Caenorhabditis elegans: one gene and its partner. The protein of the gene in region 2 interacts with the protein of the main gene of each other region in a pairwise test. Each region holds a gene or a part of one and is shown on either strand. Other genes may lie near its edges.

The links.
Region 1: the proteins of mec-8 (region 2) and sup-12 interact in a two-hybrid assay, tested with the Caenorhabditis elegans proteins (one large-scale study listed by BioGRID).

What each region holds. Positions count from the first base shown.
Region 1 is NC_003284.9:3,900,583-3,909,133, reverse strand, and holds sup-12 (RRM domain-containing protein), read right to left. Parts: upstream 4,544-8,551; 5' UTR 4,496-4,543; coding exon 4,414-4,495; intron 4,221-4,413; coding exon 4,063-4,220; intron 3,644-4,062; coding exon 3,514-3,643; intron 3,326-3,513; coding exon 3,256-3,325; intron 2,996-3,255; coding exon of another isoform or gene 2,980-2,995; exon of another isoform or gene 2,950-2,979; intron 2,321-2,949; coding exon 2,160-2,320; intron 2,089-2,159; coding exon 1,943-2,088; 3' UTR 1,463-1,942; downstream 1-1,462. Other genes in the region: T22B2.5 (Neur_chan_memb domain-containing protein), read left to right, coding at 957-990.
Region 2 is NC_003279.8:9,439,033-9,447,490, forward strand, and holds mec-8 (RRM domain-containing protein), read right to left. Parts: upstream 5,196-8,458; 5' UTR 5,164-5,195; coding exon 4,881-5,163; intron 4,353-4,880; coding exon 4,005-4,352; intron 3,767-4,004; exon of another isoform or gene 3,652-3,766; intron 3,248-3,651; coding exon 2,940-3,247; 3' UTR 2,909-2,939; intron 2,487-2,908; 3' UTR 1,978-2,486; downstream 1-1,977. Other genes in the region: C17E4.10 (PRKC apoptosis WT1 regulator protein), read left to right, coding at 1,587-1,733.

The DNA.
Region 1 (8,551 bases), on a different chromosome or scaffold from region 2:
TTTGTTGTCATTTCTAGGTTCTATTGCAAATATCATCACTTTAGCAATCATATTTGGATTGACTTTTTTCTGAGAATCCGTTTTGCAATAAAATTCATAAATGTTTTCATCTGACATTGATGTGGTCATTGATTGAAGGGAGACAAATCAAGAACATCAGAAAGCCGACGTTCCACTTGGCACATCAGTTATGTAAAAAGTGAATGTTTTGATAAATAGCCATATGATTCTACTAATATTTTTCTTTCCTTGTGGCAACAATTATGTGCTTATCTCATTTTATGGCTGATATATACCAAAAACTGTCACTAGCTATTGAACTCCTTGTAAAATCGGCTGTAGTTACTGTCAAACAATCACCCAACAGGAGCTGGAATTTCATGGAACCAATTCCATATACTTCAACATTTATTAAAATATATTTTTCGCTTCCAAAATGTATACATTACTGTAGAAAAGATCGGTTTCGAAATTTCCACACTCAAAAATCGATGCGTGTCAAAGAGTCGTCAGTGTGGGAGATGATGCTAGTTTGACGACTCTGCCTAGATTGCGTAGTTTAACAAATCACATTTTTTTAAAGTTAGCTAATAGGAAAACATGTCAGCTATCAATGAACAAATAAAACAAAAATTTAAAATTTGTCAGGCGAGAAAAAAACATATTTTTGTGAGAGCAACTCGGTCCGCATAATTATAGGCCACCCTGTATTATTATCTCCTCATTTGTTTTAAATTTCTAATTAGATATCTAAGAATGCGAAGATTTATAAACAAAATCCCCTCACCATACTCAATTTTAAATATTGTTAGACTTTCTAGTCTTTGAACTTCATTCGAAAAAGTTTCAGAATATTTTAAAAATTTAATCATTCTATCGTGCTTTAAAAAGGGTTTTAAAATTGAGAGATGGGATATTTGGAACGGTAGTTTAATTTTATAACGTTTTGTTTTCAGTGGTGGCCAAAATGTCTCGAGCAGCTTAAAATAATTATTCTCTACCCTCATTTCGGTTAGTTATTCTACTATTTACTATTTGTAGATGGTTTCTCAAGGCATTTCAATTTTTTTTAATTTTCAGCCTGAAATGTCATTCGGAAGTGTTCAATGTCATCTACTACCACTACTATCAGTTTTAGAATTTACAGGATCGACAACTTCAATCAGTCAGGATATTATATTTTCAGAGCCAGTTTTTTCTTCTTTCACAGGTTCTTTTCCCTATTTTTTTGGATGGAAAAAATTCGTCAAAAAATTATCATTCATTCTAAAAGTATCATTCTGCCTAGTACTGTATTTTTTGTTTTAAATTCGATCTACGAAACTACAATATAGTATTGCATTATTTCTTACTGTTTGCCAAGATGACCTAATGCTGCAACTAGTTCCTGTTGTATCCATCTGCCTTCTGTTTAAACCCCCGTTCATTACAACTACTTCCAGTTTCTGCATCACACGTGATTAGGTTTTGAAATCGGTTTATTGTAAACATTAAATGCAGGAACATGTACGACTATTACGAACTCACCATATGAAATTAATTTGCAAATTCAATGAGGATGTGCAAATGGCACATTAAAATCAGGCAACTCTGGCGTTTCGGGAAAAAATTGAGAAGAAAAAACATCGAACGTGTAGAAACCCACATCAGAGATTTGTAATTTGAAATGAATAAGAAAAAAATTGACAAAATCAAAAAGAACTGTGACTAAAATTGTAAAGTATATGGGAATAAAGTTGAAATTGGAAGACTAGATAGAACTGTTTGATTTGCGTAAGAATCTGATATTTGGGTAGGACAAAGTTGTAAAATTATCAGTATAACTCGGGCAAATACCTATGTTCTCTATTGGCAAAATCAGTTGGCGAATTATTGCTGGGACGACAATGACAATCGGTTTTATGAATGAGTGAATGACAAATTGAAGAATATTATTAGGATTCTAGACACGTTGATGCTCAAGCTGTTGTTGTGCGGCAGCTAATTGTTGCAACTGTGGGTTTCCAATATTGTAGGCAGATTGGGGAACTAGGCCGTATCCTGCTGGATAGGCGGCGTATTGCTCAATTGTTGTAGGGGCGGCTGCGACTGAAAATGTTTTATTAAATTTGAAAAAAAAAAATTTTTATTTAATTTTAACTTCCTATCGTCGAACATACATTTTCCTTGGGACTGAATACCATAAGCGGCGGCAGCTTGTGGGTTCATTACTGCGGCCAGAGCATTATAATCGAACAATTGTTGCTGAGCAGCGGCTCCTTGTTGTGCCATCAACGGATTGACCAGTCCTGTGACAGTCGGATAATACATTTGAGGAAGTCTAAAAAAAAGTATTGATTAATTACCGAACACGGAATTGACAGGAGGATGTAAATGCCAAATGCTGGAAATGAGGCAACAGTGTTTATCACAATATCACCCAAAAAACACGCACATGCGTGATAAAAATTCACTTTTTTTGGTTCTGGAAAGTATAATTATTTTTGTTTTTGTTTTAACAATATTAAGAAACTCCACATTTTTTCAGTTCAGTTTTTTTGAGTTAGTGCAAAAGAAATATCTAACATATTTGGATAGAATGAAAAGTAAAATCATTGACAACTTCAAAATTCCAAAAAAAAAAGTATCAGAAAAGACGTAACCAAACTATAGCAAAGTTTAGAAAATGCGTGATGGTTTTAGTTAGGCAGCCAAACCCATTGACCTACAAAGAAATAATCATCAATCCCACCAATGAAGAAAACAACTTTGGGGTGCTCAGTTCATTCAGGACTATGCAAGTTTTCACCAAGGGAAAAGAGAAAAACTCGAAATCATATAGGTTTGGGAAATAGGTGAAAATGAAGAGAAAGAGAGTATGGACACGTCAAAAACACAGCACTATTGTATTCCGCTTTTGGTTTGGAAAATGAAAGTAATGATATTGGCACACGTCAAAGCACGCCTAACCTTTAGTTTTAGGCATCCACGGATTTCGATTCAACCGGCCACTTGTCTTAAAATATTTTGGTTTACAATCATTAATATTATTTAAGTTATTATTAAACGTGTGAAGATGGTTGAACACAAGAGTACTTCTCAAGTATCCTAGGCAACTTTTGAGCTAGAGCACAAAGTTCTACAGTGTTTTGTCATTGCTGTTGTTGTCGTGTTGTTTCTTTTTTCTGTATCAACACAACTCAATTAGCGGTGATTTTTGGATGAGATAGGAATTGTTGGAAGTATGTCACACACAGGCAAATCACCGAAACTTACCCCATTCTTGGTTGAAACAAAGCCTGAAGTTGAGTGGTGAGTGGAAGTTGAACTTGTCCAGCGGCCAGCGCTAAAATGACCAACTTGGTGATTTTGGTTAACACAGACAAAAACTGAATAGAGATGCGCGACACAAACAATATCCTTTGGTTATGAAGGTTGTGGAGGATTGATAATGTTTAGCAGAAGCCAAAACACACGGGGAGAATAAAATGATCTGAGAGCTGCTCAAGAGCCGCACAAAAATTCGAAACTTACCAGCAAGTTGCACATTTGTTCTTGGTTTAGCTCCGAGGTATGCCAAGTTGACATTAGCCTTCCTTCCATCAATGATTGGATTTGGATCTTTACAAGCTCTTTCTGCAGAAGCACGGTCCTTCATTGTTACCTGAAAAGTTATGTTTCATTAACAAACATATGTAAAGATCATGTTTTTTTGCGAAGAGTAATCTTTCCATCTTTGCTGTTGCAACTATTTGTTGAGATATATATGGTTGGGAAATGTTTGCTAACAAAATACGCGTGCGATTCCTATGAAGAGCCGCTTGAGAGGTCAAAGCAGAACCGCGAGATTTCGGAAATTTGAAGATTTCTTCATCCACCTTGTTCCCGAATTATTTTCCAATTTAGTGAAGTTAAATCAAACGAAATTGTTTCCTCTTTTATCTGGACGGACAAGATAAAAAATGGTTAATCATGTCAAAAGTGATTGATGATTAGAAACCGTTTCGTTTCAATTGACCTCCAACGTAAGATCTCGTGAAAAAATATCGCAAACTAGAAATTTTTGACATTCCAGTGACTTACAAATCCATATCCTCTGCTTTTTTGTGTGTTACGATCAGTGATGACTACAGCCTCTTCAATATCTCCAAACTGCTCAAAATACTCGTGAAGCGTCTTGTCACTTGTATGGTATGGCAGACCACCGACAAAGATTTTGGTGAACATGGTATCACGGGAACCTGAAAATGAATGGAGATGAACTAAAAAATTTGAAATATTTCCAGTTTCTATTCCTATCGCAAGTCTTCTTTTAAGTGGAACCATATGTGAGGTTACACACAAAAGTTGCATACCACTGTCATTTTTCCCTATCTTTTTCCCTCTCTAAACCATCATCATGTGACAATTCGATGGGGATCACAGGAAACTCACCAACTACTGGTTCGGCGTTGGTTGATTGTGCCAAAGCAGCGGCAGCAGCATGCACCAGTGGATCTTGGACTTGGCCGTACATTTTTTACTTGATTTATATAGGGCCTAGCTTAAATACCGTGAAATTGACCTGCAAAATGTTTTTGTTTGAAGTTTTGTATATATATACATAGAAATATGAGAAGTTTATAAACGATAATTTAAAAAAACATATACAACATCGAAGGTGTGAATCAATAGGAAATGAGCTAGAGCCAACATGAAACTGAAAACTTTACACTGCTATTATCTATCACTCGTCATGATCAATGAGTTATCAGAGACCTTACTTACCTCAGAGACCACATAGGTAGAGATAGTGAAAACTAAACGAAAGGCGACAAATCGCGAGAGAGAGATAAAATAGAAATGGATAAGAACGAGCCGACGAAAAGCTCGCGCGCGCACAAAATCCGTAGGTCTGTCTCCGGTGGTGGGTGAGCCTGTCAAAGTTTTGCTGCTCTCCAAACAGAAGCCAACCACCGCCCGCCTGTCGTCGCAAAAATTGACTCTTTCTTTCCAACACTCTTCCCCCCGGTCAATTTTTGCCATAATATTTCACCACAATGAGCCGTTGCGCAAATAACACCACCTCTGGAGTATCGATTTATGTCATGCTGATCCAGAAAAAAAAGATTGAAATCGATGAAGAGAAATAAAACGCGAAATAACAACAGAGCTCAACTGACAACGAGTGGGTGGATGTTGGGATGAAGTAAAAGAAGAAGGAGGAGAAGAATAAGAAGAAAGAAGGCTCAATCAAAGGATGCGACAAGGAGAAGTTGCTCCAAGAAGAAAAGAATAGAGACAGAATGAAGAAATAATCCATCTCTGATCACATTGCATTCATGATGTGGTGGTGGGAAATACAGAATAATACTTATACTGTAAGATGTTATTTGGAAAACAATTACGAACTGCAGTATAATTTTTTGTTTTTCTTTTTCTGTGTGAAATTTTAGCTGAGAGGAATGTACAGAGGATTTTGAATTTGGCGGCGATTCAAAAATGAAACAACCATTTGTTTGTGCCCAAAAATAGCAAAGAGAGCCCAATTTGTTGCGATGCTACAAAAAAAGAAAAAAATACCGTTCGCTCAATGTGCTCGGACTAAGACGTTCGCATGTTTGGACAATCCGAGAAAGGCAGCGAAAACAGTGGGAGGCAAAAGAAACAAACTGATGCTCTCCTCCTCCCGGGGGCTAGTCTTGTTTTTCGGGAATACAATTGCTTCAAATCTGTGCGTTTCGAGTATGGGAGTCTTTACCGCCCCTCGTCCTCACCGCCTGATTAAACAATTGGAGGACTTGGAAAGCTGTTGTTGAACGACGCAGAGCACTCTGAATATGGCGGTTCGTCACATTTACATGGAAAAACTTTAAGGATTCTTATGTGAAGTGCCATGTGCATTGAAAATATGGGAAAGTGTTGAAGATTTGAAACCCGGACGTGGTGGTGTTTCTCATCATATCAGTTTATCTTCGATAGTAAGCACAGAGACCGTATAAACCATGCAGAGAGGAAATTTCACTTTTTTATGTTATTTATGTCCGTCCGCAAAACTTCGAAGACACATGACTGAATGAAACTGTTTGTTACAAAATGATTGATTAGAGGGGGGGGGGGGGGGGGTAGAACTAAAACTGGAAGGGCTCTGAATACCAAATACCAGAACCAAATTTTTTACTAAAGGTGAAGAAGCTTTACAAATAGTGGGGAAAAAGGGGATACCATCGAGTTTTTGCAACTTTTTGAGAAAACTATAGCACTGTCGCATGTTCAAATCCGTACAATGTGTGAATATTAATAATTAAAACTGATGGAGACCATCAAACTGTAAGGAACATGTTTCAATCGATGACTTCCAAAAAAGTGGCAAAAACTGAGTAGTAACTACTTTTCAAAACAAAATAACAAAATTTCAACAAATAAAAAATTTTTGACACTATTTGATGAGCTTTTAACAATTTACATACTAGCTAGCATCATCTTGAATGATTCAAAATTAAAGAGAGAAAATAAACAAGCTCAGGTGCATCAAGAGCAGTCAGCTGAGTTTTTTTGCCGGATGAGCGCCAGCAGGAGTAGAAGAAGAAGGAGGTAGCAAAAATATATTTCGAGTGAAAAGAAAACTGGTCTTAAAGGCGGTTGGTTCATCGCCCCGAAAACAAATAGGCCAAGAGCCAACGAAAAAGTGCGAGCGCGAGCCGTTGAAGAACGAACGAAACATGAAACTTTCCCCGGCTCGAGGCCTACGGCCTGGATCGGGAACAATCTACTGAATTGCTTCACGCGGCGCGAAAAACATGCATTTTTCCATCACCGACGACGTGCGCACTGATGATGTCTTAGGGCATGCCTTTGATAACGGCGGCAGATGCCAAACCTGCTGATGTGGTCGCAAAAGAAATAAATAAAAAGTCAATTATGATTACGCGTGTTTTCGGCAATCGTCTCATTTATTTCATCTTCCTTTCTTCGAAACACCAGGAGAAAGTGACAGAATGAGTGAGGGAGGGGGGGGGGGGGGGCCCGGGGAGGGTTAGGGCAGAAACATTTTGAGACTTGTAAACAGTTGACATCTCTACCAGTGCAATAAATATACATGTTGAGCTCCTGTAAGCCACTCTGGTGGTCCTCTGGCAAGCAGACGCACCAGATGCCTGCGCAGAACAAATGTCGTAAGAATCGTGAGGCGATGGAGTGGCATAAAGGATTCATAGGGCTGCTGTGTTAACTGCTGGTACCAGCAGCAGCCTAAGATTATCATTCCACGAAACAGTAGTCTAATGCATAGATTAGGAGAGGCATACATTGGTGATGAGGAACGTTTTCTAATAACTGAAAACAAGAAACGAAAGAAAATGTCAGGAGAAACTTGTGATGGTGGAAAAATTTCATAATGGTTGAGAATAGAAAAAAGTCATTTACTTCCCGAATGCACAAGAAGTTCTAAACAAATTGGAAATACATTGTTTCACTTCTAAACATTTCTCAACTAGCTCGCCTTTATTTCATTTAACCTCTTCTTTTCAAAATACTCCAACCTCATCTCTCTCTCTCTCTCCCTCTCAATTTTCAATCAGTATCTGGAGAAATTCGATTTGCTGCTCCTATTGTGCAGAGAATTTCTAAGAGACCCCTAAGAGAGTGAAAATACGACACCGTTTCGAATGGATAGAGTCAATTGCGATGGAATGTGATGCGGTTAATCGAGCGAAAAGTGAGACGAGATGGCTGAGAACTGTAACCAATTGGAGGGACGAAAAACGGAAATCGAGACGTGAGAGGAGGCGGCAAAGAATGCTGTTGATTGCGTTTATTTTGGCACAAAGAGCAGCTAATTGAACAAAAGAGCTGAGAGGAGGATAGACGACAATAGGGAAATATGATGATAGATGGAAAAAAATTCTTGTCGAAAGAGCAAAATGTTAGAGAAATGGGAATTATGATCAACTATGGGTTTTGAGTAAAATATTGAAATATGGAGAGGTTCTGGAAAAATAAATTAGAAATAGAGGTGCAAAGAAAATATGCAAATAAATTAAACAAGCGAGCGCGTGCGATATTTCAGTTTTATTCACTTTGTAGCGACGGGAAGTGAAAGCCTACCGACTAACAATACACATAGTTAGAATGAATGAGGCCCGTCATCCATCTCGCTTTCGCCGCACGTTGTAAAGTGTCCAGGAATCGAATCCCGAGTCTGAATTCCAGTGCTTGTCTCTTCTTTATCCCTCTTCCCGCCGAGCATTGTGAGCGTGGGGCTCGGCGGGAAGGCAACTGTCGAGCAGCTGCTGACAACGTAAACACCATTCTTCAACAGGTCACCCTCCGCCACGACAAAATCGCTTTTTGCTGCTTTCTCACTCAGTTTGTCGGGGGGGGGGGGGGGGGCTCGGCGAGCTCATGCATTGTCATGTTTATGCTCGCCGTGCAGTCGCGATGGTTTAAGCATACAGATTATGGGTGTATGACTGTTAAGGATGATGGACATCGATTCGCGGATGAAATTGAGAAGAGTTGTGTTTCGGAAAAGTTTGGTCGAAAATTGCGAAATTTTTATGACAAATTAGTTTGCTTATTAGGACAATAGGGT
Region 2 (8,458 bases):
ATACAAACAGAAATACCTCTTTGACTGCCGTCTAATTACACCTCGGATGACCTAGAAAAATAGTAAAAGAGGGTAAAGATGAGAGGAAAATGTTTGAAAAACGAACGGAACGTCAGTTTTTTTGAAAGCTTTAAGTATTCAACGGGAAAGTATTTCAAGTGCGCTTTTTCAAAATTGGTTAACGAGATAGATCATGGAAATCTTTGTTTTTTCCTAGAAGTATACATCTTATCCAGACGCGATATTTTTCGATTTTTAAGCTAAAAATACGGTTGATTACAAAAAAGGTGTGCGTCTTTAAAAGGTACTGTAATTTAGAAACATTGAAAAATTAATGAAAATTAGGCAGCAACAAAAGCTTGAAGTTACAGTACCCTTTAAAGGTGTACACCTTTATGCATTTGAAAAAAAATTTGTCGATTCGATACCGTATCTTTAGCGCAAAATTTCTCGTCTGGGTAATATTATGGGCTTTAAGACCCCATGAAAAAAAGAATGACCGTGAAAGCTCCAACCCGGCTCTGTGTCGATTTACGCAGCTCGTGTACTTCTCACACTTCTCCTCGAGTAGTACACAAGCTGCGTAAATCGACACATGGTCGTGTTGGAAGTTTCACTACTATTCTTCTATTTCAAATCAAACCCCTGATTTCGAAATTTCTTTCTACAAAATCTGTATGATTGTCAAAATTGGGGAATGTCCGTGTGTAACCCGTGTTCTCCGTCTCTTTCTAGTATTGCGTGAAGTGGATGAGCCAACAATGTCAATCGTATGAGCACAAGGTACTTGGTACCTAATGATCTTTCTTCTCTTTCAATCACTCACTCAGACTCCTTCTCTGTTCCACCCGTGTCAATTGAATACACGGACAATACTCGGCGATTTTCGATTCCTTTATGCTCAACAATTCACAAATATGTCGAGAGAGCGTAGTAGTTTTTATTGTAAATCAAGAAGGAAAGGAAAGAGAGAAAAAGAGTGGATAATTTTTGGTTTATTACACAACTTTCATGTTCATGTCTTCGAAGGACGGCGCCAACTAGGTTAATAACACAGACATGTCAAGTTTGAGCTACAGTAACCAAGTATTTTGAAGTGGCATCTATGTAGAATGTGGAACATAGTAATATACATTTCAGTGGCTTAAAAAATTTAATCATTTGATAGTTTTTGTTCAATCCCAAAAGTTCCGTCTACCTAATTTCCTAATTACCGAACCATTTTAGAAAGAAAATTTTGAAAAAAAAATGAATGCATTAGTTCCTCAAAAAAAAAATCCCCGGAATCATCACACTAGTAGTTTCCTTTTTTCTTGAAATATCGTTGACACGAAACTTCCTGTCCGATTATGGTATGGTTCATTGAAACGAAAAAGACCTCAACATCCCTTGACTGCTGCCACCTTCTCCTCGATTCTCCATCCAAAGTCATGCACACAAATAAGACCTTCTCAACACTCTCAATGCATTTCCGGAGTGTGTGGTGGTGGAGGGGGATCGAGGATTATTTGCATATATACATACTTGGACACTTCCTTCTTGCGCGCCGACTCGCACCGCCAGTTTTTAAAAGTTGATTTTTACAGCGTGACATTGACAGCCTTCGGTTCGAGGTCGACTGGAAGGACAAACGGATCGAATTTTTGCAGAAGACGCTACAGGAAATAGAGACATCAACATCTCAGTCAGATGCTCCAAATACATCAAGATCTACTACAACATCCACATCATAATAATTATTCATTCATATAGGTGCTTTTGTCATCCCATGATTCCTATGATTGTTGTAATCTCTCAATCAAGTCTTTGTTTTATCACATTTTGCCATTATTGCATATTTTCTTTGAAATCTGTAACATATTTCCCGAGCTTTCCAAATTCCAAAACTTCCTACTTCATTCCATTCACCAACTCGCTTTTTTCTCACTTGCTTACGGCTTATTGAAATCACAACAATTCACAACGAAACCAACCAATAAAGTGTATAAATTTATTACAAAAGCTTTTTCAAATTACAACAGAAGAGAGACTGGAATGCATGATGATTGGTGGTAAAAGGGGAAAAAGGATCTTATGAAAAATTAGAACAAATCACAGAAAATTTCAGGTTCGGACAGACAGACAGGTGGATAAGCTCTCGTGATATATATTTACAGAGAGTAAATCAGAAATAGAAAAGATATGATGCAAAGGAGCTCTACGGTCAAGACAATAGAAGTTCCTGTAGGGTGCTTACAAACACTTCGAATTTTGTAAAAATTAAGAGAAAGGAAAATAAAATGCGAATAAAAAGAGATCCGAAAGGATTTTTGGTGATTTTTTGGGAGAGTAAAATGAAAAAAGGACGAAAATGCACTAAGTGTAATGAGAGCGGGTGTACGTTGGTGGAGGTGGTGGTGGTTGTGCACAGGAAGAAGAAGAAGAAGTAGAAGTAGTAGTTGCTGAGTGATGATTGTGCATTTGGTGATGGTGGTGCGCTTCCCAAACTGAAATTGTAAGGATTTGTCTCTGACCCGTTTGATTTTAAAATGAGAGTGGATTGTCGGAGGGGCAGTTGAAAGGCTTTCGGGTATTATTATTATTATTAATAGTTATTATTATTTTTGTCAAGCATTTTATAATTTAATTATGCAGGCGTTGAATTATCACATTTCTGTTTTGGCATCACAGTTGGGTTACTCGTTTTAAAAACTCATTATCACAGTGTTTGAGCTAATCCCTTTCTCTGTGTGATGATAACTACAGTAATCTAGAAGGATACCTGTTAGGTGTGCGCGTACGTGTTAAGTGTCACATACACAAGGATACATAGCAAGTGTGTGAGGGGGATGAATTTTACAAGTTTGGGTGCTAAAAAAGATAAAGAGAGAAAAAGGAAATGGTTGTTCAAAAGAGATATACAACATACACAAAACTGCAAAGAATTCTTGCTTCTCTTCTTATCCATTCACATCAGCCATCTTGTTCCGAGCATATTCAATACGAAGACCACCTCGATCGTTGGCTGTTATCTGGAATCCTTGTAGTGATATCATCGCTTGAGTTGCTTTCTGAAGATCCGAATATTCAACAAACGCCACACATGATCCATTCTTGTTGTGCAGTCGTAGACGTGTGAAACCAGAGAATGCTTTGAATACACCCCGAAGAGTATCTTCATTCACTTCAGCCGATAGATTGGCGACGAAAAGAGTGGAGCACGCAGAGGTGGAAGCTTGAGATGCTTGTTGAGAATGTTGGAGGCTGGCTGAAAATTCTCTTGGCTCTAATTTAAATAGCTATGTCATAGGAGGTCTGGAAATTTTTAAAAAGAGAGAAACAGCTAACGGGGTTGAAGTTGCGAGGATTATGTTCTAGATTGCTCCAAATTACTAAAATAAATAAAGAATACAAAACTATTTGGTTAAGCTGGAGAAACTTTGAGGTAAACCGGCAGCCATAAATTGGAAGAGCTTATTTTAAAAAATAAAGCCGTAGAGATATGAATTCCGGAAAAAATATCGTCACAACTTTTCTTTAATATTTCTCAAATGAGTTTAATGGTTATAAAACGAATTTCCTTCTACGCGGTTAAATTTTCCATATCGAATTTTCTTGAACTTTTCCTATTTTTTTCTAAGAAGTTTTTAAGAAATATTTTGGAATTATTTGGTGATATTTAAAACAAAATCCCGACATATGACAGTAAGTTTTTTTTCTCAAACATACAGTAACCCCGTTAGCTGAGAGACTCTATTTTGAAACTAATGGGATACAGAAGGACTACGAGACAGTTCAGAATAGTGTGATGTGTGATGGTGAGAGTTTCAGTGAGTGGATAGCGTGTACACAGTGATTTGATAGTTGTGAATGTGTGGAACATAGTGATTGTGCGGTGGCTATAGTTTAACCATCGTGATCACTAATTGTGTATTAAGGAATTAGTTTGTGGGAGACTTGTGGGAAATAAAATAATTATAAATTATTTTCTGGAATTTCCAGAAAATGTGATTAGTATTTCTTACCTGCTGCAGCGGCTGCTGGGTGCATTTGAGCAGCTGCAAACAATTGATTCTGACTGTATTGTTGTAGAGCAGAAGCTGGCATATAGGCTGCTTGAAGTGCCTGTGCAGCATGTAAATGTGGAAGTGAAAGAGCCAATAGTTGTTGCTCATTGAAAAGAGCTGCTGATTGAGGATCTAGTAGAAGATCGTGTTGCATTGGTGCCAAAAACTGCGGGACTCCGGCTGCAGCGGCTGATAGTGCCGCATGTTGTGGTGGTGGTGGAGATTGTTTAGGTCGAGCTACTTTTGTGTTCGATTTTGCAAGTTCTAGTCGAAGTACCTGTGCACATTCCGGATCGAATCGGACACCTGAAAATTTGAAGAATTTCGTTGTCGTATGTGTGTGTGTGGGAACAATGTTGATTGGTTTTTTAATTGGCAAAAAAGAAAATGACAAGAAATGCCTACTGTGGTGTGAAATCTTTTGGTTGGAAAGCTGTCAACAGGTCTACCTGGAAAGGAAACAGGTGAAAATCTAGCTAGAATCTTACAAATAAATATTTCAAAACAAAAAAGGCACCTTACAATTAGAGGAATTTGTGTCATATTCTCACTAATCTTATTTAGATTGGTTTTTTTGAAATATCAACAACTTCTCAATCACAATGCCAATGCATTTTTGATTAACTCAAAGTTAAACGAGATATAAGCTGCCAAATTCTAGTAACATGGGAGCAATGCCAATTCGAAAAAAAGCGCAAATTCTAGCGCAAGTCTCTGCTGAACGTTAATTTTGTTACACGAAAGTTGGAGATTTGAGCTAGAAAGATGGCAGAAACTGCTGAAATGTATGTATATCGAACATTTTTCGACAACACGTAAAGAAAACAAATTTACCTTGCAACATTTTTCTGGCGTCCTGCGCATCTTGTTGCGAAAGAAAGGTGACAAATCCGACTGGAGACGTTGGTTTTCCATTCTTCGATGTCATTTTCAAAAGAGCTCCCTCATAACCACGACATCCACGGAACAGAAGATAAAGCTCACGCGGCTTAGCATCCATTGGAAGACCCGAAACAAACAAGGTGCGGACCTGTGATGGATTCGTTGCTTCAGAAGAAACACTGTTCAACGACTCCATCGAAGCGGCCGACGCCAGGTTCGGCTTCGGGCCGTCCATCTTCCGTTTGCGGCTGTTTTCAATCGTTATGGCTGCAACAAAATGTGATTGGAAATGGTGGGGAAACTTGTGAAAAGGGGCGACAAAGAAATAGGAATACATTTAAAAAGGAAGGAGGTGCTAAAGAAGTGGAGTCATATACACGAGAATCATCGTCCGTCGTCATGATGATGGGATGGATGGATGACTATGAAAAACGATGGAAAAAAGGCAAAAAGATGGGAGGAGCGAAGAGGCGATGTCGAATGTTGTGTCGGAGGAGGCACATAAATTGAGCGGAAGATGTAGGGAAGGTAGGAAATAAGAGAGAAAGTAGAGAAATGGTGCCTAGCAACCAAGACGTCGTGTGCCGAGAGCCAACTACAAGGAGCCAATCGGGTTGGCGGGAGAACCAAAAGGAGATTGAGATGGGACATGACATTCTCCTTATACATGTATTTCGTCATAATTAATCATTAAACCAGGCTGTTACAAGGGAAGCTTATTATAGGATTAGAAAATATATAGGAGAGTGGATTTGGTTTATAAAATACAATATTTTAAGAAATTTTTAATATGTAAAAAATCGTGATCTGAGCTTTTGAGCTTTTGGGTAAATTCTAGATATTCTAGCAGGTTGAGACGTGATGGGTTTTTCTCAATCGCCTCTTAACCATCCTACCAGCTATATAATTTTGGGCCTTGCTTTAACGCCTAGTTAGTTTTCAAAGAAGTAGAAAGCAAAATATGTTGATGAAAATCAGTAAGGGGGTGTGAAACATATCCTTTACTACCAGACGATAATGAGATGAAACTGCTCGGAAAAAATAGGGCTACTGTCGCATGCATACAAGTTGGAAAGAACAATGTAATTAAAATTAATAGAAACTCTTCACAAAGAGTTAAACAAAAGAAGGGAAACGGTTTGTCAATTTGAATTGCCGTACCATGAAGCCTTTTTGGAATAACGAAATAGGCCAAAGGATCTTACAGTTTCTTTGCATTTTTATTTTAATTTTAACAGAGCATAACCATACAGTTGAGCTTTCAAGCCACTTAAAGTACAAGAAATTTTCTGAAAATTTTAAAAATTGAATCACTTTGCCATAAAACCAATAGTTATTAATTTAAATAGCGTGATTACAAAAAATATTGAACTAGAGAAACCGTTCGCAGTTCATTTCAAAATTACACACTCACAAACAAATAACTACTGACAAAAAGTATTTTCCCTCGATACAAGACAAGATGACACGACCACCAACACTCCCTTAATAGGAAGGAAAAAACAACTAGACAAGGAGGGTACTGGGGGTGGAATGATTGGGGGATGGGACACTGATAAGAAAAGCATTATTTGAAAGAAAAAAAAAATGGATGGGGGAACTTATTGACAAGATAATGATAATGAGAAAATGTGAAAAAAGGAGAAAAGATGCCACCTGTTGGTGGGGTAAAGTGATGGGAAAATGGGGAAAAAAGAGAAAATTAAAAGTGACCTTCGTATGAGAAATACAAACTGGGAGAGGGAGGTATATAGATAGAGGAACAAGAATTTGGCAGTCAGAAACTAGAAGCTTTTTTGCTTCATTGATGGGTTTTTAGCTTATGCGTGTACTACCTTTAAACTCTCACCTATGGCCTAGAAATTATTCTAGGCCAGTTGAGAGGAAATAAAAAAAGAGCACACGGAGCATCGCCGTGCTCCGGAGAACCCAGGAGAGGGGTGGCAAATGTCATAAATAGAGTGAGAGAGACGCGAGAGAAAATGAGAAGAGGAGCAGAAGGAGTAAGGAATTACATTTCCCTAGTTTTTTGCCTTTCGAAATTTGAGCTTTTTTTCCTTTTGCATAATGGAACTTTATAGCTGATGAAAACTATAGAAAGTATTCAAAAAGCATAAACTTATCAATGTTTGTTTTAAAAGTGAGAATATTTTTTTGCGATAGAGATTGCTGATAAGAAAATTTCAAAGTTTTTGCACATGGTATTTAAATTCTAAAAGTTTTCTGTTTACAAAATTAATTGTATATACTTTCACAAAGAAGGAGAAATTCAATTAATTGCTTCATTGAATTTTAAGTGGGTACGTCATTCAGTTTTAGTCATTAAAGAGTTTCATATAGGAATAATGACCAAGGAAAACGTTTTTGAGTTTTGAAAAGTTGAGTATCATTTCTAGAGGATAAAAAAGGATATAGAAAATTAATTTTTGGAGTGATTTGTCGAATTTGGTAAGTTTGAAAGGGAATTTTGAGTATAATTGGTTAAAATACAAACTTGGCAATTTCAAATTTAGTAAAATGTTCAAATTGAATACTAGTTGAACTAAGAACTAAACTATTTGTACATACACTTATAACATCAAAACCAATGCAAAAAAAGAAATCCAAATCACCGCAAAAAAAGTGCTACCGTCCTTTTTTGGTTCAGTTGACTGGAACTAATTAGACAATGTCTTCTGTCGTTACAATTACCACTACCACCACCACAACGATCTTCCCTTTTGTTGCGAATTGAATCTATGGGAATGTGTATGGACTTGTCATGTTTGTATGGCTGGAGACGACAATACAATACAATAAATCAATTGCAAGAAAGAACGCGTTTGGCAAATGCAAACAACTACAGGAACAATTTCAGGAAAAGAGAATAGTAATCATAACATTTTATACTTCGGTTCATAGTATTGATTAATAAATAAAAAGCTGTAGAGAGCGAGAAATAAAAAATGTTTTGTTTATTGAATAACTTTTGGTAAAACAAATTTTAGCAATTAGGATTATTCTAGTCGCGGAAAGTGATCTTATAAACTTGAAGAATTTCTGTAATATTTTGTAAATTTAAACTCAATGCGGAACTAAAGGAAAAGGTTAAAAATATCAAATTTTTGAAAATACAGTCCGACTCTAGAATGAATGTTCATGACGATAACAAAGGGATTTGGAATTTGAGATTTCAACTTCATCTGGACACCGATTTTTTTTTAAATAATAAAAACAAAGTAGGCTGAACGTTCATTTTTTAAATGATCATCCATAATCCGGTCAATACAAAAAAACCAGGTAATGCGATAGAGGTAAAGAGAGAGAGACAGAGAGATGAATACGAGGAGAGGATTGTCGAGTAGAATGATGATGAGGGAACCTGGGGCGGGTTGGGCTAAATGTATGTCTCGGTCTCTCCGCCTCCATCTATTCTCCATCTGACGACGTCCCGTCCCGTCAGGTAGAATTTAGAGGAGAAAAGAGTCATAGTTGCGCGGGGGGCCAAAGACGGTGGAAAAGGACATGAAGACTGTATCGGTCCAAGGTTG